Canis lupus familiaris: one gene and its partners. The protein of the gene in region 4 interacts with the protein of the main gene of each other region in a biochemical or structural test. Links are inferred from orthologs where the notes say so. Each region holds a gene or a part of one and is shown on either strand. Other genes may lie near its edges.

Evidence for each region.
Region 1: the proteins of RHOA (region 4) and RTKN form a complex in vitro, tested with the Homo sapiens proteins (8 studies listed by BioGRID). The link is inferred for Canis lupus familiaris from reciprocal best matches to the Homo sapiens genes RHOA and RTKN.
Region 2: of the proteins of RHOA (region 4) and KCTD13, one has a biochemical effect on the other in vitro, tested with the Homo sapiens proteins (2 studies listed by BioGRID, with this or other methods). The link is inferred for Canis lupus familiaris from reciprocal best matches to the Homo sapiens genes RHOA and KCTD13.
Region 3: of the proteins of RHOA (region 4) and ARHGAP32, one has a biochemical effect on the other in vitro, tested with the Homo sapiens proteins (3 studies listed by BioGRID). The link is inferred for Canis lupus familiaris from reciprocal best matches to the Homo sapiens genes RHOA and ARHGAP32.
Region 5: the proteins of RHOA (region 4) and MCF2 form a complex in vitro, tested with the Homo sapiens proteins (2 studies listed by BioGRID). The link is inferred for Canis lupus familiaris from reciprocal best matches to the Homo sapiens genes RHOA and MCF2.
Region 6: of the proteins of RHOA (region 4) and SMURF2, one has a biochemical effect on the other in vitro, tested with the Homo sapiens proteins (3 studies listed by BioGRID, with this or other methods). The link is inferred for Canis lupus familiaris from reciprocal best matches to the Homo sapiens genes RHOA and SMURF2.
Region 7: the proteins of RHOA (region 4) and PLD1 form a complex in vitro, tested with the Homo sapiens proteins (2 studies listed by BioGRID, with this or other methods). The link is inferred for Canis lupus familiaris from reciprocal best matches to the Homo sapiens genes RHOA and PLD1.

The regions. Positions count from the first base shown.
Region 1 is NC_049238.1:49,191,744-49,195,881, reverse strand, and holds part of RTKN (rhotekin), read right to left. Parts: exon of another isoform or gene 4,058-4,138; coding exon of another isoform or gene 4,034-4,057; intron 1,297-4,033; coding exon 1,097-1,296; intron 1-1,096. UniProt on the Homo sapiens protein: Mediates Rho signaling to activate NF-kappa-B and may confer increased resistance to apoptosis to cells in gastric tumorigenesis. May play a novel role in the organization of septin structures.
Region 2 is NC_049227.1:18,120,403-18,125,161, forward strand, and holds the start of KCTD13 (BTB/POZ domain-containing adapter for CUL3-mediated RhoA degradation protein 1), read right to left. Parts: upstream 3,173-4,759; 5' UTR 2,987-3,172; coding exon 2,743-2,986; intron 1,431-2,742; coding exon 1,261-1,430; intron 1-1,260. UniProt on the Homo sapiens protein: Substrate-specific adapter of a BCR (BTB-CUL3-RBX1) E3 ubiquitin-protein ligase complex required for synaptic transmission.
Region 3 is NC_049226.1:5,711,231-5,715,368, reverse strand, and holds part of ARHGAP32 (rho GTPase-activating protein 32), read right to left. Parts: intron 3,765-4,138; coding exon 2,886-3,764; intron 2,211-2,885; coding exon 1,228-2,210; intron 1-1,227. UniProt on the Homo sapiens protein: GTPase-activating protein (GAP) promoting GTP hydrolysis on RHOA, CDC42 and RAC1 small GTPases. May be involved in the differentiation of neuronal cells during the formation of neurite extensions.
Region 4 is NC_049241.1:40,283,389-40,287,526, reverse strand, and holds part of RHOA (transforming protein RhoA), read right to left. Parts: intron 2,796-4,138; 5' UTR 2,795-2,795; coding exon 2,639-2,794; intron 63-2,638; coding exon 1-62. UniProt on the Homo sapiens protein: Small GTPase which cycles between an active GTP-bound and an inactive GDP-bound state.
Region 5 is NC_049260.1:110,573,506-110,577,643, forward strand, and holds part of MCF2 (proto-oncogene DBL), read right to left. Parts: intron 2,337-4,138; coding exon 2,145-2,336; intron 1,176-2,144; coding exon 984-1,175; intron 1-983. UniProt on the Homo sapiens protein: Guanine nucleotide exchange factor (GEF) that modulates the Rho family of GTPases. Promotes the conversion of some member of the Rho family GTPase from the GDP-bound to the GTP-bound form. Isoform 1 exhibits no activity toward RHOA, RAC1 or CDC42.
Region 6 is NC_049230.1:14,568,697-14,572,834, reverse strand, and holds part of SMURF2 (E3 ubiquitin-protein ligase SMURF2), read right to left. Parts: intron 3,736-4,138; coding exon 3,615-3,735; intron 1,115-3,614; coding exon 913-1,114; intron 1-912. UniProt on the Homo sapiens protein: E3 ubiquitin-protein ligase which accepts ubiquitin from an E2 ubiquitin-conjugating enzyme in the form of a thioester and then directly transfers the ubiquitin to targeted substrates.
Region 7 is NC_049255.1:36,237,927-36,242,064, forward strand, and holds part of PLD1 (phospholipase D1), read right to left. Parts: intron 1,205-4,138; coding exon 1,001-1,204; intron 13-1,000; coding exon 1-12. UniProt on the Homo sapiens protein: Function as phospholipase selective for phosphatidylcholine. Implicated as a critical step in numerous cellular pathways, including signal transduction, membrane trafficking, and the regulation of mitosis.

The DNA of each region.
Region 1 (4,138 bases), on a different chromosome or scaffold from region 4:
GAGCATGCATCTCTCCTAAGGTGACAGCCAGTTTAACCATTAGCAACTTAGTAGGGCCTTAAGCTAAATGATGTGACACTTTTGGCAACGCATTTAGTTGTCAGTGATTTGGGGTGTATCTCAAATCCCACTGCCTAGGCTGTGCGGGGACTTGGACAGGGTAACGCTTGATGATGGCTGCCTCTTGGGAGACAGCAAATTCACATTAGGAACTGCCCCTTGTCTGCCTGCCCATTTGCTTTACAGGGAAGCCACAGAGTTGCTTATCTACCTTCCCCTGGGGGCTTCATGAGTGAGCTCTGGAGGGCTCCTGGCAACTTCTGGTGGCAGCCTTCATGGCTGAGGTGGGAGGGGATCATACCAGTGAGTAGCTAGGACCTTCTTTCCATCCAGCTTTGTGGGGCCAAGCAGGCTTGTTTTGCCAGAAGCCAGTTTTCGAAATGACCAGTTTACCAAAAGTGGCCAATTCTCAGAATGATCAACTTGCCTGGTATTCATTCTCTCCAACATTTTAGTTTCACCAGAGCATCACCTCAACCATTTCCCTGCAGCTGTCAGATTGGCAGCATCTAATGTCAGTGTAGCTGGTGTTTCATATCCAGAAGCTGACCCCTTTTAAAATACATTATCTAATTTATGTGAATGGGTAGGCATTCCCTTAAATATTTTTTTCCCTTAAATATTTTTAATTATTTCCTCCCTCAAGCACTGCTCATGTGTGAAGTGAGCCTCAGGTACACTATTGTCAGTTGGTGGTAAATTGGCCATCTGGTGAACTGACTTTGAGAAGATGAGCTTTCCAGAAGCCAGGCAGGCAGCCTCATCAGATCACAGGCTGAGTGTAGCAAATTAGCACTTTTATATTATAACCCCTCAGCCTCACAGCCTTTCACCAGATACCCTGGCTCTCCTGAGTCCAGTCCTAGCTACTCACTAGTGCACCTGTGGGCAGCACACTGTGGTAATAAAATGCCAATGGGTCTCCCAGGCATTTGACAGGGCTTCATGGGGAATTGACCTTCAGGGTGACCCATACAAAGAACATATACACACTGCACCACTACCCGCCATAAGGCCTTGTGTCCCCCTTGCTCACCGCCGGCCTGTCTTCTCCAGCACCTGTGCCTCTTTCCGCCGCTGCAGCTCGCCCATGTAGCTAAGGATGCGGCTATTGCACACCAGCAGGCTCTTGGTGGCCTCTAGGGCCTGTTCTCGCTGGGAGCAGGCCGCCAGCAGCTTGCAGGCCCCTTCCCTCATCCGGATCTCATGGTCTAGCTTTCTCTGCAACTCTGTGTCCTAGACAGAGTGGGGAAAAGGATAAGAAGGAAATGTCAGTTGGGGACAGGCTGAAGCACCCTCCAGTCCCCAGTGGGCTGTGGCCCAGGAGAAACTGACAAGAAACTTCTATTTCAGGCAACTCAACCTCAGCTGCCCAATAACCAGAGAAGCTTTGTCCTCGTGCAGTTGATGGTAAGAGCTTAAATTCCTTCAGCCTCTTTTGAGCACAATTTGGAAAAATCTATGAAAACTAGAAATTCACATATCCTCTGGTCCAGCTATTCAATATCTAGGAGTTTATCCCACAAAGACAGTTAAACATGTGAGCAAAGCCATATTCATTGCAACTTTGTTTTAAAACACCAACATTAAAAGTTCACTCAAGCATTGGTTAAATAAGTTCCAGCATTTCCATGGAATATGGAATATTGCAAACATTAAAGAGTGAGGTAGACATATATATGCAGATATGAAATAATCTTCAAAATATATGAAATGAGGGGTGCCTGGGTGTTTCATTCAGTTAAGCATCCAAATCTCGATTCTGGCTCAGGTCATGATCTCAGGGTTCTGAGACCGAGCCCCGAATCAGGCTCTGCACTCACCAAGGAGTCTGCTTAGGATTATCCTTCTCCCTTTGCCCCTCCCCCTGCTCATGCTTGAACATGCATGCATACTTACTCTCTCTCAGAAAAAAAAAAAAAAAATATATATATATAGTGTACAAATGGTAGCATGCTGTAATACTGTTCTACTCTCTTTTCTTACTTTATATATATATATATATATATATATATATATATATATATATATATAGGATACTAGGTCGGTCAGAAAATCAAGTGATATATATATATGGGCCTGGGTGCCAGGAATGGAAAATAGATTTATGTTACTTTTTAAAAAAATATATATCCTTCTTTACTACTGTACAATTGGAAATTGTGATTTTGTTTTGTTTTATGAGGAAGAAGGGGAGAGAGAATCTCAAGCAGACTCATGCCCAACAGGACTGATGTGGAGCTTAATCTTAATCTGTAAAATGTAAATTTAATCTTACAACCCTGAGAGCATGACCTGAGGCAGAATCAAGAGTCAGACACTTAACCAACTGAGCCACTCAGGCACCTCTTGTGTTACCTTTTTAAAATATTAAATCCTTTCAGTTAAACACACACAGACACACACACACATTACCAGGCTCTACTTCAGACTTGCAGAGTAAGAATCTCTAAGAGTGGAACGTGGGTGGTTTTTTGAAAATTCCCCAAGTGCTTCTGAGGTGTAGGCAGGGCTGAGAACTACCAACTAAAGAAAATGAACAAGATAGTAAAGACCATCCTAGGTTACTCCAAAGACTCATGTGATGGCGGGGGGGGGCGGGGGGGGGGGGGGCGGGGACATCTAGTTGGCAAGAGATCTATGGAGAAGGAGCATACCACCTATAGCATTCACCCATGCTTCTCAGAACCCTGTACACACTCCAAATTAGGGGATCCGCCACCTACTGGCTCTCTGATCTTGGGAGGTTGAGGACAGTGGCAAGGATTAGGGATGGGAAGGCAGGTAAAGCAGGTCAGGAGTGAGGGGCTAAATAGGCTGTGCATAAGGATGGGGCGGTGGTTTAGGCACTGAGAGAGGCACCAGGATTCTGAGGAACATTTACTCAGAAAGAGCCCTGGAGGTCTTGGCAGACAGTGGAGGGGAAGAGCACCAGTTTGACATAAGACAAACCTGGGTCTGAGTTAGTCCTGTCAGTCTTGAGAAGCTGGAAAGAACTGATTTAAAATGAGCTCAACCTTCCTAAGACTTGGTTTCATCATCTATAAAATGCAGTTGGAAATAGCCCCCACATCCCAGGGTTGTGAGGATTCATTAAGTCAGGAATGTAAAGCACCTAGCATAATGCCCAGCACACAGTATACATGAATGGTGAGAATGCTTTTTAAATGATGCCACTTTGGCAGAAAATAGCATTCACCCAACAAACTCTGGAGCACCTCTGTGCTGCTCAAGGGTCCACATTTAAAATCCAACTGGGAAGTGAGAGATGCAGACATCAATGGCTGTACCATAAGTGCCATGTCATGGCATAAACACACTCCAGGAGACAGACCTTTCTGCTCCTGGCTAACATGATGGGGAAGGCTTCAGAAAGAGGGTGGAAGACAAGCTGCATTACAGTATAAGATTAATCTGAGAGGAAGCCAAGTGATGGCACCAAGCTGGAAGAGGGGAGTGAATGTGATCACCCAAAACCCGTCTTCTCCTTCACACCAGCTCTCACACTGTGCACTTGCTTCTGTTCCTGGTGACTCCAGCCTTCAAGTCTCCAAGATCTGAACATCCCATATTCCTGCTTCAAAAGCTTTTTCCAGCCTCCCTGCACATTCTCCATTCACAATTTATTTCCTGGGCCACCACTGGGCTAGGACTGGCTTTCATTACCCCTCTCCCACAGTTTCCCTTCCTAACCCTTCAAAAATAGGCCACCCAGGTCCCAATGCCCCCTCCTCTAGGAAGCCCTCCCAGACTACATAGCTCCCACAGCAAACTGCCCCCCCCCCCCAGCCACTCTATGTCTGTCTACATCAGGATTCCACCTTTGCTAAGCTTTCCTGCTTGCCAACCCCCATCCCGTTCTGCATCCAGTTTCTGCCACAAACACCACAGAGGAGAGAAGGTGGGGAGGGTGGGGACAGAAGCGTGCCTAAGCCCCCTCCTGGCTAGTCTCTGTCCGGGCCCCAGCACTCACAGATCCTTCCCTAGCCCTGTCCATTGCTCTTGAGGTACCAACGCTGGCGGCGCGCTGGGTCCGGGAGTTGCAAGTGTCCCCGCCCGTGGCGCTCTGGGCGCTAGT
Region 2 (4,759 bases), on a different chromosome or scaffold from region 4:
GAGGCAGAGACACAGGCAGAGGGAGAAGCAGGCTCCATGCAGTGAGCCCGACGTGGGACTTGATCCTGGGTCTCCAGGATCATGCCCTGGGCTGAAGGCGGCGCTAAACCGCTGAGCCACCCAGGCTGCCCTATACTTTTGAATTTCAAGAACCGATATGTATTCACCAAGATAACAGAAAACTGTTTATAGTCGCCACTTTTTAATATATAAAGGGCACTAAAAAAGAAACTCTTATAATCTCCTAGTAATATTGTATCATAAAAGAAGGTACATTTTTAACAATGTAAAAATAGAACAAAATAAAAGGCTTTATGTAAAACTCACTACAGTGTACATATTTTTCTTGTTTTCCTATCTTTTGGAACATGAGAACAGAATGCCAGAGGTAGGAACTGACTTAATCAAGGTCACTCAGTCAGCTGTGGTAGAGGTGACACTTAACCCACAGGTCCTGGCTGTGCTTTCTAAGCTCTCTTCAGAACCCTGAGATCCATAGAAGAGAAGCCCAGAAGTTGGGGCGTGGAACCCCCAATCTGTCTTTTGGGGAGCAGCTCTGATTCTAGGATTTCATTGCTAAAAAAGAAGTTAAAAACAACAACAACAAAAACCTGGCTGGGGGTGGAATACTGCCTCCCAGGACAGGACCAAATCACAGAGATCATTATATTCTAATTTAAAATTGGATTTTTTTTTCCTAGTGGCACAGGGAGTTATTTAAGATTTAGGAGCAAAGGGGAGACTAGACTGTTTAAGGATCATCACTCAGGTGGTAGTGTGATTGCCGGATTAGCCAGGTAGGAACAGCAAGGAGAGAACAGTCATTTAACTACTGTAACAGGGACCCCTGGGTAGCTCAGCGGTTGAGCGTCTGCCTTTGGCCCAGGGCATGATCCTGGAAATCAGAGGATCGAGTCCCACATCAGGCTCCCTGCATGGGGCCTGCTTCTCTCTCTGCCTATGTCTCTGCCTCTCTTTGTGTCTCTCATGAAAAAATAAATAAAATCTTAAACAAAAAAACTACTGTAATAGTCCTGGCACGAGGTGGTGAGGGAGGTCCTTCCTGAGGTAGCAGGAATACACAGGAAAGCACCTCCAACCAAATTTTCTGTAGTTATGGCTAGTCACAGCCAGGCCATAGGGAGCCTCTCCAAACAATACCCCAGATACCTCCCCTCTATTTTTTAATGTGCTAGTATCTAAGTGCTTAGACAGCTCTCCCAGAGACATGGGTATAAGGTGGGACCCAGGGCCCCTCACCTGCAATGCTAGCTGGCAGTCCTCAATCAGACCCTGTACCAGGTAGTAGCGTGCTTCGCCTAGTAGCTCCCCCAGTTCTCTGGTATTATCAGGCAGTGGCACGGACCCATCCCGCAGGTAGTTGAGGATTGTACCAAAGTGGCGGCCGCTCCGGTCAATCAGCACCCAACCTGGTGGAGTGGAGACAGGCAAGAGGAAGGATGGCTTTGCAGGGGGCTCTGGAGCTACTAAATTTTTATGAAAAACAGATTCCAAAGCTACAGGTCTGAATACTGATCTGTCTCAAACCTTTGCCACATCCAAGAAAATCCCTTTAAAACATCTCCAGTGAGTTTTCCCATAGACCCCTTTTTAACATTCGTAGACACAGAGAATGAATTCCTTTCCAGGTCTGTTCTGAATTGAAAAAGTTCTCACCATGAGAAAATGATTGCAATGAAAATGATTACCTTACCAACAAACTCTAACCTTTGGCATTAGTTCTGACTGCCTTAATTAAAATATCTACCCCACCCCCCAGTTCACTACCATTTCAACCTTTATATTATTCATAGAACTTCACACGTATTTTTCATATGTGTATTTGCTTATTATTTTCCTCCTGCCCCCACAAAAAAGTGAAGTCTATAAGACTAATCTTGTCTGATTCATTTACCAAAGTATCTCTGGCACTAACTGGCACTTTACAAATACTTGTTGAATAATCAAATCCTTCAACCTCAGATATTTTAAGATTGAACTCCATCGCCCAAATTTTAATTTTCCTGCTCTTTACTATCATTGTTATACCCCTCTCAATACCTTCCCCCACCCTCACAAAAACTACAGTTCCACCTGGGCATGTGGGTTCCAACCCTGAAGGCAACACTCCAAGAAGGTAAGGTTCACCTGCCAAAGAGAACTGTCCACCCTTCTCTCTGGTGTCCATGGCAAACCCCCAAAACAGCCTTTTTCTACAGTCTGCATTTACAAATGGATCCCTAGAGCGTACGGGGACCTGTGTTGGAGGAATACAGAGACAGACAACTCCTCCAGGCCGGTTGTTAGCAGTGCTGAGGTAGAGAGGCAAACATAAGGCTGGGCAGTTGGAAGGAACATGAAGGTTGCCTGGAAGGGTGCTGCTGGTAGCAGGACTGGTTCCCAAGTCGTCTGAGCTGAGGAGTAAAGGGTGGGAGAATTGGAGGGGACTGGTAATAAAAATTCGGAAGTGACGTGTTGAATTACTTACCACAGCGCGTGTTGGAAGCGGGCATGTGATGTTCCCTTAAATGTTGGTTATTGCTAGGGATAAAGGACTGAGATAGGAGGGGAATTATGAATGAGGAAGGGGCGATGAGACTGGATGGGGGGGCTGGAGGGAGGTGAAATGAGTTGACTGCACGGTAGAGACGCGAGAGAGGGGATATGAGGAGACTGGGCGAGGGAAGGCAGACGGGGATCTGGAGGATGGAGGACCACACAGGTAAGTGCGGCGCGGCGTACCTCCCGCGTCAGTGAGCACCTCCGCGCGGCCGCTGAACATGGCTTTGAGCATGGTGTCCTGTCCCGTGAGGGTGCGCAGCGTGGTGTAGTGCAGCGAGCCGCCCACATTCAGCTTCACGTACTTGCTGTTCGGGGTCAGCGGCTTGAGACCGTAGGCGGCGGAGCCAGGCTCGAGACCCGAGGGCTTGGGGGCTTCCAGGGACGGGGCCTCGGCCGCCGCCGGGCCCGAAGCCTCGGCCGACATGCCGGGGACTGGCGGCGGACGGCGCGATCCTAGGCTCTCTCCGCACCCTCCGGCGGCTCCCAAAGACCCCGAGACCCGAGCCGTCGGAACAGACAGCGAGGTCCACACGACCACACGCCGCGGCTACTCCGCCGCAGCCCTCAGCCCCATCACGCCGACGCCGCCCGGAAGCCGAGGCTGAGCAGGTGCGCAGGCGCGCCAAGGTCCCGCCCCTGACCTCGCGCGCCGGCGGTGCGGAGCATGCGTGGTGACCTAGGGCCCCCGTGGAGAGGTAGCGCGCAGCCTCCGGCGGGGTGGGATCCCGCGCGACGTGAGGTACTCGCGCGGGTCTTGGACAGTGGTTGGAGGACGGGCTCCGCCACATGCCTGCTGTGGAAAGCGAGGTCGCCTCGCGGTGGTTGAGTCTCTGCCCTCAGAGCGCTTCGCGGGCGTGAAAGGCAAGGTTTCCGCCTCCCATCCCCGCGCTTTTGACAGACTGCGGAGAGCTTCGAACAAAGCACCAAGGGAGACTTGTACAAGAGGCCAAAGTGAGGTGGCCTCCTTAGAGAGGTGACAGTAGTGCTAGGACATGCAGGGTGTGTGTAGTAGGTAAGGTCGTCAGGAAGTGCGTGCCTGAGGAAGTGATGCAGAGCCGAAGCTGAGAAGACGAGGCCACACTAAGGTGTGAGGGAGAACTCCAGGCAGAGGGAAGTGCACACACACAGACTCCAGGCAGAAACACGCCTGTGGTATTGAGCAGAATGAATGTCAGGGATGGCTGCAGCGGCCAAGCAAAGGTTTTAGAATCCCAGCTAAGGTCTCGAGACGCCCAATCCCGAAAAAAAGAAAGAATAAGTCAGGGACATGTTATTGACAGGAAAATGTACTGAGAAGTGTTTATCTGACTGGATCTACGTTCCGTTGAGAGGCTGATACTTCAGAGATTTAACAAAGGATCTTAATGTCTAGCATGGGGGTTTGCTGGAGGGAAAATGTAAACAATTTCCACTCTCCCACAAGTTCATTGGGTGATCCTAGCCAAGTCACTTTTCTCTGGGCTTGGTTCCTATTTTGCTTAGTGTGGGGTGCAGATTTCAATGCCAGGGAACAGTTAGGAGTGTACATGAGTGGGGTGGGGCATTACAAGGTATTGGGGAGTAATGGAGCCTGTGGTGACCCAGAGAGCTCATGTTTTACCAAAAGAGGTTGCCAATTCTGATTTTTCAAGTGCAACTGATTTAAAAAAAAAAAAAAAAAAAAAAGGCAGCCCAGGACAGCTGGGAGCTAGTTTACACTCTCCCTGTGGAAACCTTGGTAATGCTAGGAGCAGGCCTGGCACTATCAGCTAGGCCATGGCACTCTGACAGATTGAGAGAAAGACCATTTCATAATTATTTCTGAACACAAAACCAACATTGCCCAAACACAAAAATGACCAAACATAACCCCTTCTCCTACAGTTTGAGTGACTGCTGCTTCTTTACCAAGTACAGCTTTTTAAAAAAAGATTTTAGTTATTTGACAGAGAGAGAGAAAAAAAGAGAGAGAGAGAGATAGCACAAGCAGGGTGGGCAGGAGAGGGAAAGGGAGAAGCAGGCTCCCTGCTGAATAGGGGGCTTGATCCCAGGACCCTGGGATCATGACCTGAGCAGAAGGTAGATGCTCAACCATCTGAGCTGCCCAGGTTCCCCTAAATATAGCTTTAATCCTAATCCATTCCTTCTAACTTCTAGATGAGATTTATTAAGATAACCAAAAAGAATTATCACCGCTTCCTGACAACATCCAACCTGA
Region 3 (4,138 bases), on a different chromosome or scaffold from region 4:
TACCTGTCTAGCTCGGTCTCAACACCAAGAACATTTTGTTAAACAAGAAGAGTTGATTCTAGCTAGACAGATTTGTGAAGTGGCTCACGGCTATACGTCGTGAGCAGTGTAAGCACCTCCCACCAATCTAGGGAAGGGTAATGAGGTGACTTGTCTGATGCGCCATTCAAATTAATCGGCTACGGTCTCTCCCCACTTTCTACTCCACCCTGGTCTGTAGCAACTGAAGTCAAACATGATCCTCACTGCAATGCTGCAAATATGCTATCCTTGAGAAGCAGTTGCTAGAAATAGCATCATCCTCCACTAAAGCCGACATACTGAAGTCTCTTCAGTTCGAGGTGACCACAAAGCATGTGGGGCACTTTTCTAAAGCATGAGAAAGTCAGAAAGACATTCTCAGCATTCTACATACAATATTCTCTCCTCTAAGCAGATGCTTGACTACAGAACAACCTGCTGGTTTATGTTAAGAAAATGACAAAAAAGACCTAAGACACTGTCATCTCTTACATTTCTAAAAAGTCTACAAGGAGATCCCTGGGTGGCTCAGTGGTTTTGCGTCTGCCTTCGGACCAGGGCGTAATCCTGGAGACCAGGGATCGAGCCCCACATCGGGCTCCCTACATGGAGCCTGCTTTTCCCTCTGCCTGTGTCTCTGCCTCTCTCTCTCTCTCTCTCTCTCTCTGTCTCTCATGAATAAATAAATAAAGTCTTTAAAAAAAAAAAGTCTACAAGGAAAAAGGCTTTATTCTCAAGAACAAAGCACATTCATTGCGCAGATGTGAATCACTGGCGCAGGGTGGGTTAAATGACCTGCCTAAAGCCACGATGAGTCAGTGACGGAGGGGGGTGGGGCGACCTGCAGCCCTGACACCTGAAGCCCAATCTGATTGACTTGATCATGATCTCTGCATCGCTGTGAATAAAATCTGATTGACTTGATCATGATCTCTGCATCGCTGTGAATAAACTACCTAGATGCTTTAGGAAGCAGCAGGTATAGTTAACCTAGAGTCCCTGAGTAACTGCTCCTCTCTCAGAGAAAAACTGGCATCAAGGTAAAGGCAGGGTCCAACCTCAGACAGGAAATGTTTCACGGAAACCTGCCTCAGGACTCAACAGAAATGGCCTGTGTGACTCAAAAGTGACAGCACACCCTGCTGAAAAGTGACATACCTTCGGAAAAAAGTCTATTTCATCTCCCTGACCCCCTCCCCTCCTTACCTTGTGGGAATTACTCAGTCCTACGCTGGCTGCTGCTTGTACCTGCCCCAGGCCCGGCAGCTGCTCCGCTGGCCTCTGGGAAGGAGGCGGAGGAAGGGGACGGTTAGTTCTCGGAGCGCGCTGGAGGGTGGCAGCAGCGAACTCGGTGGTGGGGCCTTGTTCAACCACCGCATCCCAGTTGGCCTCCCTGGTGCCGATTTCAGCTGTTGCTGGAGCAGTTGTCATGTAAGCCACGGTGGCCGTGCTGGCCTTCTCTTCGGGGGACCCAGAAGGAGGGTAGATTTTGTCCCGAGGCAAACCAGAAGGTGTGGGAGATTTGTCTGCAAGTTCTGACGGGTGATGGGGCTTATCCACGCATGCACCAAGGTAAGAAGGAGGCTGATCTCCGCTGTAGAAATGAAGCTGAGACTGGTCCTGATCCAGAAAGGAGACAGTTGGCATACTGGTCTTCCCAGATTGGGCTTCAGGGAAACTTAGGTGATCATCAGACTTGGAGTCTGTTAAGGGAACTGAAGTGATTCTGGCCTTTTCTGGGTCCCCAGATAAATAGGTCCGATGTGGATGATTCCCTGGGAAGTCAACCTGGTGCAGCTGTTCCCCAGATTCAGTCGCACTGGCATGAGTGTGGCTCCCAATGGTGGCTGTCTCTGGCGTGGGCTGGTCACAGTTCCCCGATACACTGCTCTGGAGGTGGAACTCCTCTGCTGGCCTATCAGTTTGGAAATAGGCTTTATCTAGAGTAACGCTAGAGTAGGAGCTAGGCAGGTGATCTTCCGGTGCAGCTACTGCTAGGTCTCCATAGTTTGTATAAGCAGCCTGAGAAGTCCCTGGTCTCTTCAGTGACTGAGTTGAGGCTTGCTGCGCAGACTCAGCTAATGCCAGCGCCAACAGGCGGGCAACGTTTTTCGGAGGCGGTGGTGGTGGGATAAGAGAGACTGAACTGACAGGAACGGACTCCTGAGGGGGGTCATGGGAAACTGCTCCTGGTGGGAAATTGGGAAAAAAAATGAGAGTGAAAAGGTAGCTTGTGTTATCCTATACGGAAAGCCAAACGCGCCCCATGTGATCACTAAAAAAACAGGTGCCTTCCATATTTCAAAATGGCAATCCATGATCTTCTATCCCACATGCAAATGCTGGAGAAAACACATCTGGTTCAGAAGGAAAACTAAAACAAAGTGTTTAAAGATTGCAATCTCCTCTTGAATTGCTACAGAGATGGGGGGAAGCAGGTCCCTCATCTGGCTCAGAAAAGACTGCTTAGATAACAAGCTTCAAGTGCCTGCAGATTATTAAGGATAGTTTTTACATTTGATGGAGTAGGCTGGCTGGTTTACTCGTAAGGCTAGAATACAGGTACTTTTATTAGAAAACAGAATCAAGAGCTACGAAGTTGTGCAAAAATTATCCATGAATTCTGACTGTTGAAAGACAAAAGGGGACTTTATGAAGGTCTGAAGCAGGACCACTGGCCCTTTGGGGGATTTTTCTTTGATTTTAACTTAGGGCTTTGAGCCATCACAGCACCACCCAGAAAAACATTCTCTTTGATAAAAGGCTAGCTGTGGAGTAAATTTCTCTCTTAAAAGGCACAGATGGCACATAGAATTGAAGATCCCTCTTAGCTTAAGGAAAGAATGGAGGAAAACAAATGGTACCTGTCTGAGTCTGTCCAGAAGGTACAGCCTTACTCTGACTGCTCGAGACGACCTGCTCCTCTTTCCCTGGCGATTCTACTTCTGCAGCAGCCCCCTGGTCTAGGGGCTGGGCTTCAGACTCACATCCTTCTTGGGCCTCTTTCTCACTTGTTTTCATCTTTACTACCTGGGTGGGGGATCTGTTTATGACATCACTGTCTTCAGCACTTTTGTTCCAGGTTGGAGAAGATGCATTTGGAGTTGCTGTATTTGACACTGTCCCCATGACTTCCGATACCCGAGTGGGAAGAGTAACTGAAATTGGCTCAGATATATTCATAGAAGGTGATTTGCTTAACTTCCGTCCAATCTTTGGAGAGAAAGCATAGACGACCTTTTCAGTGAATGAGGATGGCTTGGATGATTTTTCTTCGGTTGGACTCAAGTCTAAGGTAAAGAATGGACTCAGTTTCTCCTGAAGAGGAGAGACAGCTTCAGAACTTGCAGTGCTTCCTGGAGTCTGAGACTGGCTACCACCTGCTTCTGTATCCTTTTTGTTGGTGCTCGGTTTCTCCTGGGAGTATCCTAAGGAGTCAAAAAAGGAAGCCCCACTCTCCAGACACTCTGATTCAGGCTTAGGGGGGCTGCACTGAAATGACATGGGATCAAAATCCAGGCTGGCGACGCCAATGTCTGGCGGGCTCAAGTCAACATCCTCAGCTGTGTGGGGAGACATAAGAGCTGGAATATGGAGCAGCCCTACTTCCTCCTCACTCTCATTGTCATGGGGCAGATTATCATAGGAATTACAGCGGTTCCCCAGCATTTCTCCGTTAAAAGAGGCGCTCAGTGCATCACTGCTAGATCTGGGTCTTCTGGGTCGAAACAGCTTGGAATCACCTAGTAAAAACGGATAACAACATCAAAGTATGAATGTACAGGATACACAATACACAACACCGTGAAAGCCACCTACTTAGTACAGTAGTGATGCACTGTAACAGGGTGAAAATGTTACTTCTCATTTTCTTCCCAGAAACTGTCTCTGGGCCTACAGAGGGAACTCCCGAACCAAATGTTGAATAATAAAAACATCTGATGTCATCAGGTGGAGAATGAAGGACTCAGAACTCTTAGATTTTATTACTATAGTCCAACACTGACTCTTGTTGTGACTTTGGGCAAGATTTCATTTCTTTTTGCTTTATCACTGATCTCACATATGGTTTCTAAGATAGAATTAACCACCTTAAATAGAACTTTGGATATACCAC
Region 4 (4,138 bases):
GAGAGAGGCCTCAAGCGATCATAATCTTCCTGCCCAGCTGTATCCCACAAAGCCAACTCTACCTGTGATAGGAAAAATAAACGTAAGAATGCAAGGTTAATCCTACCCACTTTCAGAATATGGCAAATAGTCCAAAATAGTAAAACAAACCTGAGGCAGAGGGTGTGTTTAAATTATTTTAGGTTGAAATTTCTCAAAATACTAGCAGTATATAAAGTACATAATTCAAAATATCGAGTCAAAAATTACTTATCTTGTAAAAAGCACAGTATTTAATTATAAACATTATACACAGAAAAGCAGATGAACAAGGAAAATCAACTATAAACAACATTCTACCAAGTATACAAAACATGACAGAGAAACACTAGACGTGAGTAACTTTCCCCTATATATTCTAATATAACCCTTTCCTTATGTTTTTCTCATCATTTTGCCCCAATGTGCAAACATGGATACAAGATTATTTGAGGGGAACCTGGGTAACTCAGTCAGCTAAGCATCTGCCTTTGGCTCAGGTCATGGTCCCAGGTCCTGGGATAGAGCCCCACATTGGGCTCCCTGCTCAATGGGGAGTCTGCTCCTCCTTCTCTGTTTCCCTCTGTTCTTCTGCTAATAAATAAATAAAATATTTTTTTAAAAATGGTGGGATCCCTGGGTGGCGCAGCGGTTTGGCGCCTGCCTTTGGCCCAGGGCGCAATCCTGGAGACCCGGGATTGAATCCCACGTCGGGCTCCCGGTGCATGGAGCCTGCTTCTCCCTCTGCCTGTGTCTCTGCCTCTCTCTGTGTGTGACTATCATAAATAAATAAAAAATTTTAAAAAATGGTATTTGAATTGGTGGGTAAGAAAAGACACCAGGCTAGGTGTTAGGCAAGGTCTCAGTGGACAAGAAAGGTCTCTGGACCTGCCTTTTCTGCTCAAAAAAATGTGAATGAAAGCATCACTAAGATAGTAAAGTACTCCCTTCACACCTGGAAACCTGCTCACCTTCCTGTGGTAGGAGGGCAAGCTAATGCCTGGGCTCTGGACAGAGGTCCCCCTCCATGTTCTCCAGCACTGCAGCCAGCCCTGTGATTTCTCACAACCAGAATGGGATTTTAACATCTTCTGCTTAGCGACCCCATGGTGCTCAAAGCTCTCCTAGTATTTGGAATACCCTTTTTTTTTTTTTTTCCTCCTAGAACTTTCACAGCCCATATTTCAAAGTTTCTAAGTAACATCTTTTCCTTAAAGTTGATGGCTAATTATCTCTTCCACCCTCAAACTCTGCCCTAGGATGCATCACTCACAACCTCCACGAGGCCCACCTGCACTTCTATCATACACACACACACACACCCCCCCATCAGTTTGATATGTGTATTTCTAATACTTTGATACCCAATCCTCACAACAGACTGGAACATTTACTCTCTGCCAAATCACGCTGCCCTGGCCCCTTCATGCCTCATGTGTATTCAGTGAGACACATCCAACCCTATATGCTGATAAATGAATGGTTCAGGGTATTGGGCCTATCTCTTGTTAGAATGGGCTTTTCCATTTTTGGTAGGTATGTTCCTGGGACACAATCACCTAGAATCTTTGACGGTTTCCTAGGCTCTGTTACTGTATACTCTTAAATGAACATTCTGAGGCAGTACCCTCTCTCAACTTGGAGGTTACTTACTTACTACCAAGCATTTTTATTTCAGGGACCCTAGAATTCTGAATAGCTGGCTTAATGTGCTTTCCAAACACAGTGCCACAAACTGAGGCACTAGAACAGAAAGGGATAGTAAGGTAAAGCAGAAAAATGAGAAGGATGAAAGGACATGGAATTATGGGGGCCAATATATTAGGTGCTAGCAGCATGAGACACATGAACAAATGCCCGAGAGGACTGAGTTATTGGAGAAGAGCCCATTGTTCTAGTTTTCTTTTTCAGCTGACCCACCTGCAGTGGGAATTTCATGCATCTTCAAAATATGTACAGGAAGCTGGATAAGACATTTTCACAACAAAAAGCAGAACATAAAAAACCTATAAACTCTAATTCCAGAAGAGTTTTCCTCTAGTCTTGCCAGTGGATTTTCAGGACAGACATGAAGAAACACCATCCTCATTGCCAGTGACAGGTAATTGAAGCAAAGGTGGCAGCCTATTTATGTTAAAGTCAAAAACCATTTACACAAATTAAATATGAGGATGTTATTTAACTGTCACATTGCTGGTGGAGTAGATCAGTATAGCCCTTTGAGACCCATAAAATGACCTGTTGTTGACCTAGTAATCCCGTATTTTAGTGCTGAATGAAATATTAGGAAAAAAACTGGAAAAAAAATCCCACCCATACAAAAAGGTTCATTTTAGTATTATCCATCTAGCAACAAACTAAATTTCAAATATAAAACTGTTAAGAGCACATATACTAGGGCTTCCCTATATAAAATAGGTAGGAACGTTAGCAAAGTCTAGATGATAGCAGTTAAAAATTAATAAAGTTAAGATGGCAAGAATAGAATGGATTTCTCATTCAAACACGTCTGTAATCATTAAACTGTATACTGAAGAAACAAAAAGACCTAATTCTCTACAGGCTCTATGAACAGCCTAAGATACAAAATGAAACCAGTTGTTACGAAAAGTGTACTCACCTGCTTTCCATCAACTTCAATATCTGCCACATAGTTCTCAAACACTGTGGGTACATACACCTCTGGGAACTGGTCCTTGCTAAAGACGATGAGCAAACAAGTCTTACCACAGGCTCCATCACCAACAATCACCAGTTTCTTCCGGATGGCAGCCATGCTGAAACATGAGACAAAGGTGTTATCTAGAATGCATAAGCTATTAATAGCTTCAAGCTATGACACACACTTTTCTAACCATGGGGCACAAGTCTGTATAGCACACCCAAATACAAAATGCTAGTACGGCTTTCCACTTGACATCAAAAGGTCGTAACAAAACTCCACAACTAACAGGTTACACTATTTAAACTTGATTTCTTTTTAAGATTTGAGAGATGATAGGATAGGATAGGATAGGATAGGATAGGATAGGATAGGATAGGAGTGAGGGGCAGGTGGCGATACTATAAGTAAGCACTCCGCGCTGAGTGTGGAGCCTGACGTGGGGCTTGATCCCAGGATCCTGAGATCATCACCTGAGCTCAACCCTATAGTAGAATGCTTAACTGTGCCATCCAAGCACCCAAAACAGATGTTTATACTTAATGGTAAAAAGACAAAGCTTTTCCTCAAGATCAGGAACAAGACAAGAGTGGCCACTCTTGCCACTTCTAACTAACATGATACTGGAGACTCTAGCCAGAGTAATTAAACAAGGTGATGAAACAAGACATCCAGATTGGAAAGGAAGAAGTAAAACTATCTTAACTTGAAGATGATATGACCTTATATATGGAAAATCCTAAGGAATCCACTAAACATTATTAAAACAAATTCAGGGGATCCCTGGGTGGCTCAGCGGTTTGGTGCCTGCCTTTAGCCCAGGGCATGATCCTGGAGTCCCGGGATCAAGTCCCACATCGGGCTCTCTGCATGGAGCCTGCTTCTCCCTCTGCCTGTGTCTCTGACTCACTCTCTCTCTTTCTGTGTCTCTTATGAATAAATAAATAAAATCTCTAAAAAAAAAAAAAAAAAAAAAAAAGGAGGGATCTATTAAAAAAAACCACAAATTCAGTAAGGCCGTAGGATACAAGACGAACATACAAAAAACAACTGTATTTCTATAACCTAGTAATGAACAAAGAGAAAATGAAATTAAGAAGATAAAATTTCAGGGGTGCTTGGGTGGCTCAGTGGTTGAGCATCTGCCTTTGGCTCAGGTTGTGATCTGGGGTGGGGATCGAGTCATGTGTCAGGCTCCCCACAGGGAGCCTGCTTATCGCTGTCTCTGCAAGTCTCTCATGAATAAATGAAATCTTAAAAAAAAAAAAAAGACAATTTCATTTTCAATGGCTTCAAAAAGAATAAGGATAAATTTACCAAAAGTATAAAATATACCCTGAAAACTCCAAAACACTGTTGAGAAAGAACTATGAAGATAATAGATCTATGAAAGATCTATGAAGATAATGAATGAAGACATTTCAAGTTTCTGGACTGGAAGACAATATTGTTAAATGG
Region 5 (4,138 bases), on a different chromosome or scaffold from region 4:
TGTTTGTTACATGTTAGCCTGCAGGACACTCTATCTTTCCGTGTCGTAAAAAGCTCCTCCTAGACCCTCCTAGATGATTTGAGGCAGTTAGAGATTAGCTTGGTTGCTTCCAGAGAAATCACTTAGTTATTGCTCTGGCCACGTTTCTGATTTTCTGGGGCATCCCCTAAGATCTGCAGCTAAGCATGGTTTTAGATGCTGTTCCAAACTTAAGAGTCAACTACACATTTTGGCAATAAATAGCATCACAAAAGCTCTTAACTACAATGTGGGGAGAGTGCTTCATGACACCTCCAACACGGTGGATCTGAACTGACCCACAGATCTCTCTACCTTGTTAATACCAATGTCTGCTTGCACCCCTCCCCCAAGAAGCCTGAAATCATTTCTTTATCCCTTCATTCTCAAACTGAGTAGGAAAGCCAGATCTGTGTCCACACAGCATCTGTTGGTTGTAACTGCAGCAGGAAGACAAGACATTTGGAGTAGAACGCTCTTGACACAGGCCCAGTATTCTCCTAGAATAGCTTTAGCCCTTTCTCTAAGGATGCGCAAAACAATGTATGTGAGATCTCCTAGTATGTTGAAAAGAGTTGAAAAATAATGGAGTCACAGCTCAAAAAGAACTTATTCTTCATTATGTAGCAAGCATAAAGCCTTGGGGGGGAAAAAAGCCTTGGGATGCTTTTTTTTAAAAGTCTATCCATTTAGTCATTTTTAAGTAATCTACACCCAATGTGGGGCTTAAACCAGTAACCTTGACATCAAGAGGCACATGCTCTACCAACCGAAGCAGCCAGGCGCTCCAAGCCTTTGGATTCTTGGATGCTTCACAGGGGTACTAATATCACCCCTCATCCTTAAGAGAAGCATGTAACTGCAATTTGACATAAAGTTAGCTGTGAAGTAGTAATACTCTTGCCAACACTACTGGAATTACAGTTTTAAAAATATATTCATTTGAAAAAAAAACAGCCTCTTACCTTGAGTTCAGGAGATAAAATTACATCAAATTCATACTGTAGGGTATCAGGATCATAATTTATAAATGGCAAAGCCATTTCAAGAAAATTTTCAATGTCTCGGAGGGCTTTCTGAGCATCTTCTTTAGACTGAAACTTATCTATTTCCTGATTAGCTAGAAGGCATTCTCCTTCATCACAGCACTGACGAGCCTGATGAGCAAATCACACACACACATACACAAAACCATGAATGAATAAATAGAAATATGTTTGTCCTTTTAGGAGTGTTTACCAGCCCTGGCTTCTGTGAATCAGAGTTGTTTTCAGAGTTGTTAAAAATAAAGATATCTGGGTTCTGCCCCCAGAAATTCTGATTCAGTAGCTCTGGGCCTTAAGCCAGGCATTTAGATTTCTGCAGAGCTCCACAGGTATTTCTGATGCACAGCCAAGGTTGGGAAGCACTGTATTTATTTCATAACAAGGAATTCATTCTGCAGTAAAGAGTCTGACCGTACTCGCAACACTAACACTTCAGCTGCATGCTATTTTCCAAAAATCAATAAGTGAAATATGAAAACGCCTCGCAAAACACAAAGTGTAATATAAATGCATAGTGATTGCCAAGGACAAGGATAAAAGTTTCCTTGCCAAAGAAGGAGATGAACTGATTAAAATGTTCATGTTCAGATACAATGTCTATAAATGATATCCTCATTTTACATTCCACTTCCAAGGCCAGATCTCCCCTTCGCTGCCTAATTCTGAAAGGGGCCAGATCTACAAGCCATGGAGGAGTATCTTCCAGTCACTGTTTAATTTCTTATTGCGGTAACTATGAAATGTGGAAGGAGTTCTGGCTTTAGCAAAATGCCTCTAGGGCTTTGAAAGGTGCTCTGACTGCAAACTATCACCAGAGGAGAGGATTCAGGGATGTGCCCAAAATAGAAAGGAAGCCATCACAACTGTGATCTCAATATTCAGAAAAGAAGCCAGAATGCTTATAATACTAGACTTGCCATGGATACTGCAAAGGTACCCGGACTAAATAAACATCATCAAAGTCAATGCTTCAACGTCTTACAAATTTAATTCCAAAGCTATCCCAGGCAGACCTTTATCCTATAACCTTAAAAAAAATTATCTTCCTATTCAGAAATGTACCAGGTCTCATGACACTACCTGCTGCAGCAGCTTATGCATTTTGAAGATCCTGCTGAGCTGTATCCTTTTGGCTTTGATCTCATTAACCAAAATATCAGAAAGGTAACGTAGCTCATTGCACCTCTGGCAGATCAAATCAAGTGCGTAATGGTGATTTGCAGCAAGTCTGTGTCCGTGTAATATCACAAACCGGGCCTTTGCTAACAGATCCTAATTGTGAGAAAGAAGTAAAATAAGAACCGTATGATATCTGTTCAGAGAGAGGAGGGGAAACAAGAAAGCGATTGAGAAGCAAATTGGTTTAGCGAGGCAGAGAGAATGCCAAAAATATGATTTGATGTCATACTTGTGCAGGCTGTAAGAAAGCTTACAGTTACAGTCATTAGCTAGAGCAGTGACGCCACGTATTCCTGGTAACAGAAAAAGAAAATTAACTGGCCTGCTCAGAGTGTGGATGAGGTTGGCTTCTCCTGGTAGGTACAGATTGAGAACAGAACTGCATATATCCAAAGAGGAACACGGGAGACAAATGAAAACTCATGGGTTTCCTACCATCTCAGCTTTGGAAACGTCATGAGTCATCGTCTACCTGGCTGCTTTACATACACGAAGGGGTCTCCGAGTCAAAGGTGATCTCAGCAGCCTTGCCTCCATTCTATCAACTACTGGCATCCCCCCCTCCACCCTGGTCCCCCACTTGCTTCCCGACGCAGTGCCTGAAGCAGTAGGTGGTCAGAAAATATCTGTGGAAGTAAAATAAGAAAATCTAAAGCCCATAATGATGAAGTGCCCAGCCTGCCTGGCTGGAGGGAAACCCAGAGTTAAAGTAGGGAATTTTCATTGTTTGGTTTTTGTTTTTTTACATTTACCCTGCCATGAATTCTTAAGGACTGGGTTCCAGGAGCTCAGGCTCCTTTCCTTTGGTTCTCACAAAGTGTGCTCCTCTGGGTGGGCAGGCTGGCACTTCAGTTGAACCCAAGTCCCTTTCTCTTTAGCTTCCTTCTTTAAAAAAAAAAAAGATTTTATTTATTTATTCATGAGACACAGAGAGAGAGAGAGGTAGAGACACAGGCCAAGGGAGAAACAGGCTCTCTGCAAGGAGCCCAATGTGGGACTTGATCTCAGGACCCCTGGATCACGACCTGAGCCAAAGGCAGACACTCAACCACTGAGCCACCCAGGAGTCCCAGGGAGTTACATTTTTAAAATAGGTATAGTTTCAGATTTGCAAAATGAAAAAGTTCTGGCAATCTATTGCACAACAATATGACTATAGTTGACACTACTGAAATGTACACTTTAAAATGGTTAAGATGGGGGATGCCTGAGTGGCTCAGTCCATTACACGTCCAACTCTTGGTTTTAACTCAGGTCATGATCTCAGGGTTGTGAGATCAGTGTTGGAGCCTGCTTGAGATATTCTCTCTCTCCCTCTGCCCCTTGCTCCAGCTCCCTTTCACTTTCATTCTCTCTCAAAAAAAAATTTCTTTTGAATGGTTAAGATGATAAATTTCATGTTATGTGGGGTTTTTTTGCCACAATTAAACCTAAAAAAAATTTAAAAACAAAACAAAAATAGCAAACAAAAACCTCCAAGCTTCCTTGTTTCCAAGCCAGTTTGCCTTCTCTTTCTACTATGCCACAGAGGTTTATAAACTGCCCCCAAATCACAACGACCTACAAGCATAATTCTAGAGCTGTTCACCACAACTGCTGCCTCTCACATATTGTTTTTATTTTTTAAAAAGATTTTATTTTTATTTATTTGAGAGAGAGAGCATGAGCAGAGTGGAGAGGCAGAGGGAGAGGAAGAAGCAGACTCTCCGCTGAGCAGGGAGCCAGACATGAGGCTCGATCCCAGAACCCTGAGATCCTGACTGGAGCCAAAGGCAGAAGCTTAACCAACTAAGTCACCCAGGCTAGGTTCCTTTCCCTCAAATTTTAGATGGTTACAGTATTCTCATAAATCTGTTTGCAGGGAATGCACCTTAAAAAACGATGGCCTTGTTCTC
Region 6 (4,138 bases), on a different chromosome or scaffold from region 4:
TATATACACACATTCAAAAAGATGACAACCTAAATGCAAATTTAGATTTCATGCCTCAAACCTGGCCGAGAGCAAAAGATTAGCAGTCCATGGAATAAATTCCAGTTAACATAAGACACCCCATAAAAGTGTATGTAGAAATATAGCTTCACTTTACGCTTCTGGGTAGTCTGCTAACAAGTTCTCCAAGTAAGGAATTAAGCACAACTCCAAGGATGCCTTCCCTGTCTGTGGACTTCCAACACGTGTGCTGCGGGCAACGCTGTCCTGTCTGGCTGTGTAGGTCTTCAGATGTGACTGGTGGCAGCAGCCTTGCAAATGAAGAGCTTCAGAGGGAAAGGAAGCAAGTGCCACCCAGCGAAGCGCCACAATCCTTAGAGATATTGCCAACTCGCCCCCAAATTAAATAGCTATGCCGCAGAAAATAAGTCTTAAAAATGGAGTATGTTTGGAAATAAATGGTCTGACACTGTGCAATAATGACCAAACAAATGGCTTCCACAATGCAGGCTGCCTCCAAGAAAAGAATACAAAAGTAGAGGGAAGAGGCGTCCCAAGTGGGTTTTGGCTCTGCCAGGTTGAGGTGTGGAAGTGGAAGCAGACAGGCTTTCCCTACTGGAATGCGCCACACAGGTTAAAAGCCAGGTGACCAGAAAAGAAAAGGCAGAGACCACTGCCTACGGTCTCTAACGTACAGCACTCACTACAGGCACAGAGGCCCCAGGGAAAAGGTTCTTGGGAGGGGAACAAAGGAGAGGAAGGAGAAGAAGGTATCAAGATAAGGAGAGTCAGATATGGAAGAGAATGAAGAGAATCTGCTTAGAAGCCTGTGGTTTGTAAACTATATAAACCAAACATTGACGCCCTCCACCAGTGCTCTGATGCCATGTCGCGTTCCTCTGGCTTTTCTACCTTGTAAAGCTTTGAAGCCCTGCAGAGGCACTCTAGATGATCCTGTCACAAACTGAAGTAACCGTGCTCTTCGCTCTTCATCAAAAAACTCCACAGCCTTCCAGAACCACTTGACGACATTGCTGTCTGGTGTGCAGTGTTTTAATCGGGTGTTTACCTTCCAGTCGTTAACATCTATCTTTCCAAGTCCACAAATAATGAGCTGTTAAAATATTGCACAAATAATGAGCCAATGGAAATCCAAAGTTAAGCCCCAAATCCCTCAAACAGAACTTTAGATTTGTAGTGGTGGCTCTCATATGATGGTTCTTAATCAAAGATACAAATCAGAATCATCTAGAAAGCTTTTCAAAACATACACACCATCAGGTCCTATGTTCAGACTTCTGATTCTGTGGGTCTGGGGTGATATTAGGGATCTGTATTTAAAAGGATCCATGGGTGGTATCTACTTCCTGCAGGTTCCCTATCCAGAGTCTGAGAACCACCAGTGTGGAGAACATGACAGGATGAAAGTCTCGTATTTTCATAGAATTCTAAATTATGTTTAATGGACAGAAAATAGACTCAGAGTAAATACAGTGCCTTCCTTAATACCTGTATCATACTGGTATATCTGGTATATCATATCATGTATATACTGGTATATCATACTGGGTTTCAACACTTACGAGCTTTAGGATTTGGGCAATTGAGTCCATCCGCCTTGGCCAGCAGTTTCCACTGCTGTAATACTGTGTTAACACCTACTTTACTATATACCCTGTGCAAGAACCATACTGCTCAGGAACTCAAGAAATGGGTGCTGGATAAGCAAGAACAATCCATTTGATAATCTTTAAGTTACAGCAAAATACAAAATACAGAACTGCTCTGAGAGAGAGCTCTGCTGGACATCCTGATGCAAGGTCAGCATAGATGAGCCATATCAAAATCACTTGGATACTATTAATATATGTCTTTAGGGTCCAAGACTAATTCATCTAAGTATTTATAACAGTGAATTATAACAGTGTGTAGTATTAAAGCATAACATAACTGCAAACATAACTGCGAATCCCACATTTTGGAATTAGTTCTATTAATCCCATATAACACTAAAATAAATTATGTATTTTCATAAAAAATTAATTTCATTACCAATAGAAACTACATAATAAACCCTAATCATATTGCATAAAATCTTCACCAAAGCTTCAATAGAGTTCTGGAAAGATTACTGAATCACAGCTAGGCTCAACAGGGAGGTAGGTATCCAAATAGGATTATGGAAGTATTTATAACACAAAAGATACCTCCTCAGTTCTTTTCTCCAGAGGAGTGGTAATTGTAAGGTGAAATTTCTCACTCATTTCAACCATTACTGCCATTCCTGGCCACTTCCACTGGCCATTTCACTACTGAATAGTTCAAACACAAAAGGAATGGGGTTAGGGAGTCAAGCCAATCTATTTAGATCCCCTAACAGGTCTATTAATAGATTTAATTAGAAAGGACACTGAAGGGGAATCTGGCTGGCTCAGTCAGAAGTCCTGTGACTCTCAATCTTGGGGTTGTGAGTTCAAGGCCCATGCTGGGTGTAGAAACTACTTAAATAAATTTTTAAAAATTTAATTTTTTAAAAAAATTTATTCATTTGAGAGAGAGTACACAACGGCGGCAGGGTGGGGGAGCCAGAAGCAGATTCCCTGTTGAGCAGGGAGCCTAATGCAGGCTTGATCCCAGAATGTGGAGATTATGACCTGAGTAGAAAGCAGATGCTTAACCAACTGAGGCCACCCAGGTGCCCCAATAAATATTTTTTTAAAAAAAGAAAGGACACCGAGGTTAATGAATTTTAATCAATTTTTACATTTATTTGTAGATTTCAAATATTTATGCTACTCCTAGCCACGAATTAAATTTGGGGCCTTCAGTAGAATAAAAACCTCATTATTTTTTCAAAGTAGTTCAGATGTATTTGTATAAAAGTCTTAATTATAAAACCAGTTCAGATGTATTTGTTTAAAAGTCTTAATTATAAAACCTCATTATTTTTTCAAAGTAGTTCAGATGTATTTGTTTAAAAGTCTTAATTATAAAACCAGACTAAAGGTGTTTTAACAACCAGCTTTAAAAGAAAACAAAAAAATGGTTAACTGTTTATTACTGCTATTGGTAACGAATATTTCCAAAGAGAAGAAAGATGTTTAGATACACTTTATCCTAAATGTTTTAATTATTTCTCTATGATCTTGTTTATCAAATGCTGTCTTGCAAAGCTTAGTGTAAATCCAATTGAACCTAAGCTTTTCATTCAAAAAATTTCAATATGGTGGAGACAAAGTGATGGCATTTAATTATATCAATGACCACTGAATTAGGAAAAAAAAAATAACCACTTAATTAGGGAATAGAAAACATGTACATATAGAAGAATGTACACCTAAGACATGAAATCTATTGAAAATAAGAAAAGAAAATATGGAAAAATAAGAGTGTTCACAATATGAGAGAGATGGCTTACTTGTAGAAAATCCAAAGCATAAATAAAAAGCTTTTCCAAAGCAGGAAAGACCTTTCCTGTGAATAAGAATTCTTAAGCACTGTACCATAAAACTTCAAAAGCACCAGCAATATGACTTTCCTCTAAAACGCAGTTAACAGAAAATTCCCAACCTTCCCTGTGACACTAAATGATGTCATGACATTAACATACTGACCTCTAACTCCTTCTCATCAAATGTCTTCAGCAGATGCTGTGGAATTACTTCATTAAATCCTTTCTGCAGAGCCAGGAATTGCGCCTCAATGCCTCGTAAAAATCTCCAGTTCACATAGAGCCTGTAAACATTGGGCAGGGATTTCACACAATCAAATAGATTCAGATTTGGTGACTATTACGAATCTCTACTTGAGCAACAGTACACCTTGTGAGCACCTAGCATTAAGAGTTTAGTCTAGAGTCTAGGCTGCCTGGGGGGCTCAGTCAGTTTGGGGTGCAGCTCTTGGTTTCTGCCCAGGTCCTAATCTCATAGGTCATGAGATCAGGCTCCACATCAGGCCCTGCACTCAGCTCAGAGTCTGCTTGTGATTCTCTCCCTCTTCCTCTCCTCCCCACCACCCACACCAGCCACTCTGCAACCCCCAACCCTGCTCTCTCCCTCTCAAACAAATAAGTAAAATCTTTAAAAAAAAATTAATCTACAGTCTAAAGGAATCTCAGATTCCTGAGGGTACTGGACCT
Region 7 (4,138 bases), on a different chromosome or scaffold from region 4:
CGTTGTTTCAGCCTGAGAAAATTATTTTAAAAAAAAAAAAAAAAAGACACTGCGTAAGGTATGCTGCAATGCGATCCTTTAATTCCAGCTGAGCTGAAGTGTAAAGTTCACACATGACAGAGGCCCTCTAACCGACACACAATACTGGGTGAGGTCAGCCACAGGGCAGTGGAGGATTCCTAGGAGCCGGGTCAGGGCTAGCACAGGGATACCAGGCGTTCCATTGTAGCTCCTCCTTCAGTAGGCCAAATTCTTGAAATTTCATCCCTACTAACCTTTTTATTCCAAACACAATTACGTGAGTTATAGTCACCGTTGAGCTACCGAACTTCTGCCTCTGATAAATGCTTTTTCTGTTAATTATTTTCCCAGCTACTTATTCACCAACTCTTTCTTTCCAGAAAGGTCACATATCCAGCAGTAAAAAGAGATGAGCCCATCAAAATTGTAATAAGTGTATTGATATGTTGGCCACCGTTAGGGTTGAAACAAGTCAGCACTGCGTGTGGATACGGGCGTATGGGTGTCTTGGCAGCTCCTGATGTGAAAGGTACTTCGAGAAGTTATTAACTTCCTGCATTCAAAAGAAGCCCCTCCATGACTCCTGCCCTATTTTTGCACGTCTTTAAGTAGGAAGATTTCAAAAGGCTCAGCAGGTGCTTGGAATAAGTCTGCTTGTTTAACGTAAAGCCCAATCGACACATATTTTTGTTTATGAACCTTTTTTCCACACGAGAAATGAGCCTTTTCTTTAAATGGAAAACAAAGGAGCTGCTCTGAGCTATCAAACACGCTATTGGATCTCTTTTCTCTTACAAGAGAAGAAACTGAGAATAAGAGATGCGATGTTACAGACTTGCCAGGTGGTGTTTGAAAACAGGTCTGCTCATACAGGGATACGCCACCCCTCATTCGACCAACCAGTCAGTCCCGCTATTAACGCATAGGTATGCAAATCATGTCCCTTCTATGCAGTTCCATAGAGGTGAAATCCACTTACTGTGAAAGAACCCAGAGACGACGGTCCTCCGGTGACACGCTTCACACTGCCCACGTCCGTGAGTCTGTGTTCGTTATCATCCCACCTTCCATAGGCCAGGTCGATCCCACCCACAAAGGCCACTGACTGGTCGATGACCACAATTTTCTCATGATGAGCCCACAGATACACGCTGGATGACACATGATCTGGGTGCCTCATCACCTTGGGAGGGAAAAGAAACACCCACAGGTGATGCACTTTTTAAAGTGTCCTTCATTTTGTAATAAAACAGATCTGTCTTCTCCCTTGAATAGCATTTTCTTTTTCTTTCTTTTTTCTTTCTTCCTTCCTTCCTTCCTTCCTTCCTTTCCTTCCTTTCCTTCCTTCCTTCCTTCCTTCCTTCCTTCCTTCCTTCCTTCCTTCCTTCCTTCCTTCCTTCCTTCCTTTCTTCCCTCCCTCCCTCCCTGTTCTGCTTTGGTCCTCTTTCAAGACTTCATTTAAATTCAAGTTAGTTAACATTTAGTGTAGTATTAGTTTCAAGGGTAGAATTTAGTAATTCGCTACTTGTATATAACACCCAGTGCTCATTACATCACGTGCCCTCCTTAGAGCCCATCATCCAGTTAGCCCGTCCCCCCACCCCCTCCCCTCCAGCAACCCTCAGTTTGTTTCCTATGGATAAGAGCCTCTTACTGTTTGCGTCCCTGTTTTTTTTTTCTTTTTTTGCCTCCCTGTCTTTATCTGACTTTATTTTTCCTTCCCTGTGTTCATCTGTTTTTGTTTCTTAAATTCCACATATGAGTGAAATCACATGGTACTTGTCTTTCTCTGACTGACTTATTTCACTTAGGATAATATACTCTAGTTCCATCCATGTTGTTGCAAATGGCAAGATTTCATTCTTTGTGATGGCTGAGTCATATTCATATATATATATATATATATATATATATATATATACACACACACACACACATACATCACACACACCACTTCTTCTGTATCTATTCATCAGTTGGTGGACATTTAGGCTCTTTCCATATTTTGGCTATTGTGGACATTGCTGCTATAAACATTGGGGTGCATGTGCCCTTTCAAATCACTATTTTTGTATTTTTGTATCCTTTGGATAAATACCTCGTAGTGCAATTGCTGGATCTCAGGGTAGCTCTATTTTTAACTTCTTGAGAAACCCCCATACTGTTTTCCAGAGTGGCTGCACCAGTTTGCATTCCCACCAACAGTGTAAGAGGGTTCCCCTTTATCCGCATCCTCGCCAACAACTGTTGTTTCCTCAGTTGTCAATTTTAGCCATTCTCCCCTGAATAGCATTCTCTAGAATTCAAATACCAAAATGTGCTATGTATACACCAAAGTTCTAATTTCACTCTCAGTATTTAGAAGAGGAAGACTTTCAGTTACTTTTTAAGCCTCTCCACCAGCACCACCCCATACCACATTTTGGGGCAGCTGCCATTTAGCTAGTAATTTGGCCATATAGTTCAGTAAGTCAGCTCGACATAAGCTGATTCTTTTTTCCACTTTAAAGAATTCCATTACACCTGATATTATTTTAAAAACAAAAAAACTCAAAAAATGTTTAACCAACATCTATCTCTGACAAAATTTTTAATAGGTATATTGATATTTTGGCAGCCATTGAATTAAAATGGCAAGCATATGGATATAGGGATATGCATACTTTGTCAGTTCTTGATTTGAAAGATATTTTTAGAAGATATTATCCTCCTGCTTTCAAACAGAATTCTTTTTAAATGATCCCAGACTGACCTGTTTTTGTAGATCTTCTAAGTAGAAACATTCCAAAAAATTTTGAGACTACTTTTTTTAGTAACCTACTTCTTTTATGTGTGGTAAAATACACATAAAATTTACCATATTAACCATTTTTAAATGTACAGTACAGTGGCATAAAGTACATTCATATCGTTTGATCATCACCACTATCTCCAGAACCCTTTGTTTTGCAAACCTCTATACCCATTGAACAATAACTCCCCATTCTGTCCTTCCTGCAACCCCTAGAAACACCATTCTACTCTGTCTCTGACTTGGACTTATATATATAAATAGAACCATACAATATTTGCCTTCCTGTGATTGGCTTAGTTCATATAGAATAATGTCTTCAAGGTTCATCTATGTTTTAGTGTATGTCAGAATTTCCTTCCTGTTGGGGGTGGGCGGGGGGTGGGGGGGTGGGGGTGACTGGGTGATGGGCACTGAGGGGGCACTTGATGGGATGAGCACTGGGTGTTGTGCTATATGTTGGCAAATTGAACTCCAATAATAATAATTTAAAAAAGCCAGAATCATTTTTATAACAGAGTCAAAACGCTGGGCCTTTGCTTGGAATCACCAGGAAGAGGAGTAAGGGAAGGCAGTGTGGGGCTTCCTTTCCATGTGCGACCATGTTTCCCCTACTACCAGTGTCAACTCCTCTTTAAAGTGTCAGTGCTGATGGCTGAAGCTGTCTCTGGAGTCTACACATTAAAACTGACAGAGAGAACCTCCCAGTCACTGCCATTGCCCATACGTTAAAGGCATTCTCCTATATGTGATTTGCTTCCCCCAAATCCATCTGTGAGGGCTCTAAATACACCCCCTGCCTGAACCTTTTCTGCCTGAGAAGTGCTGTGCTGGGTTCAAGACACTAACCTCCAGCCTCACAATCTTTAACGGCATTAACAATTTTTTTTTTTTTAATGATACCTTGTGAAAATGAGGATGGGGAGAGACAGATGCTCTCACTCTCTTCTCAAAGTAATAAAGGCTGGTAATGCCCTTTGGTTGGGCAACTTGGCAGTACACCCCAGTAACTCTTAGTGTGTGTATAACCTGCTGTTTAGCAACTCTACTTGCAAGCAAATAGTCTGACAGAGGCACAGGAAATGGTGGGACAAGACAGGAGCACTTTTGATGATGGAAAAAAAAAAACTGGAAACCACCACCGTAGAAGCTGAATATCATGGCCTACCATTACAGTGGAGATCAGTAGCCATTTAAAAGGAAGGAGGATGTTGATAAACTTAAATAATTGCTCTATGCATTTTAAGTGAAAACAAAGGTTTCCAAAGAGCATGTGTGGTATAATCCAATTCTATAAATAGAAATGTGTGCGTGTATGCAGGTGCA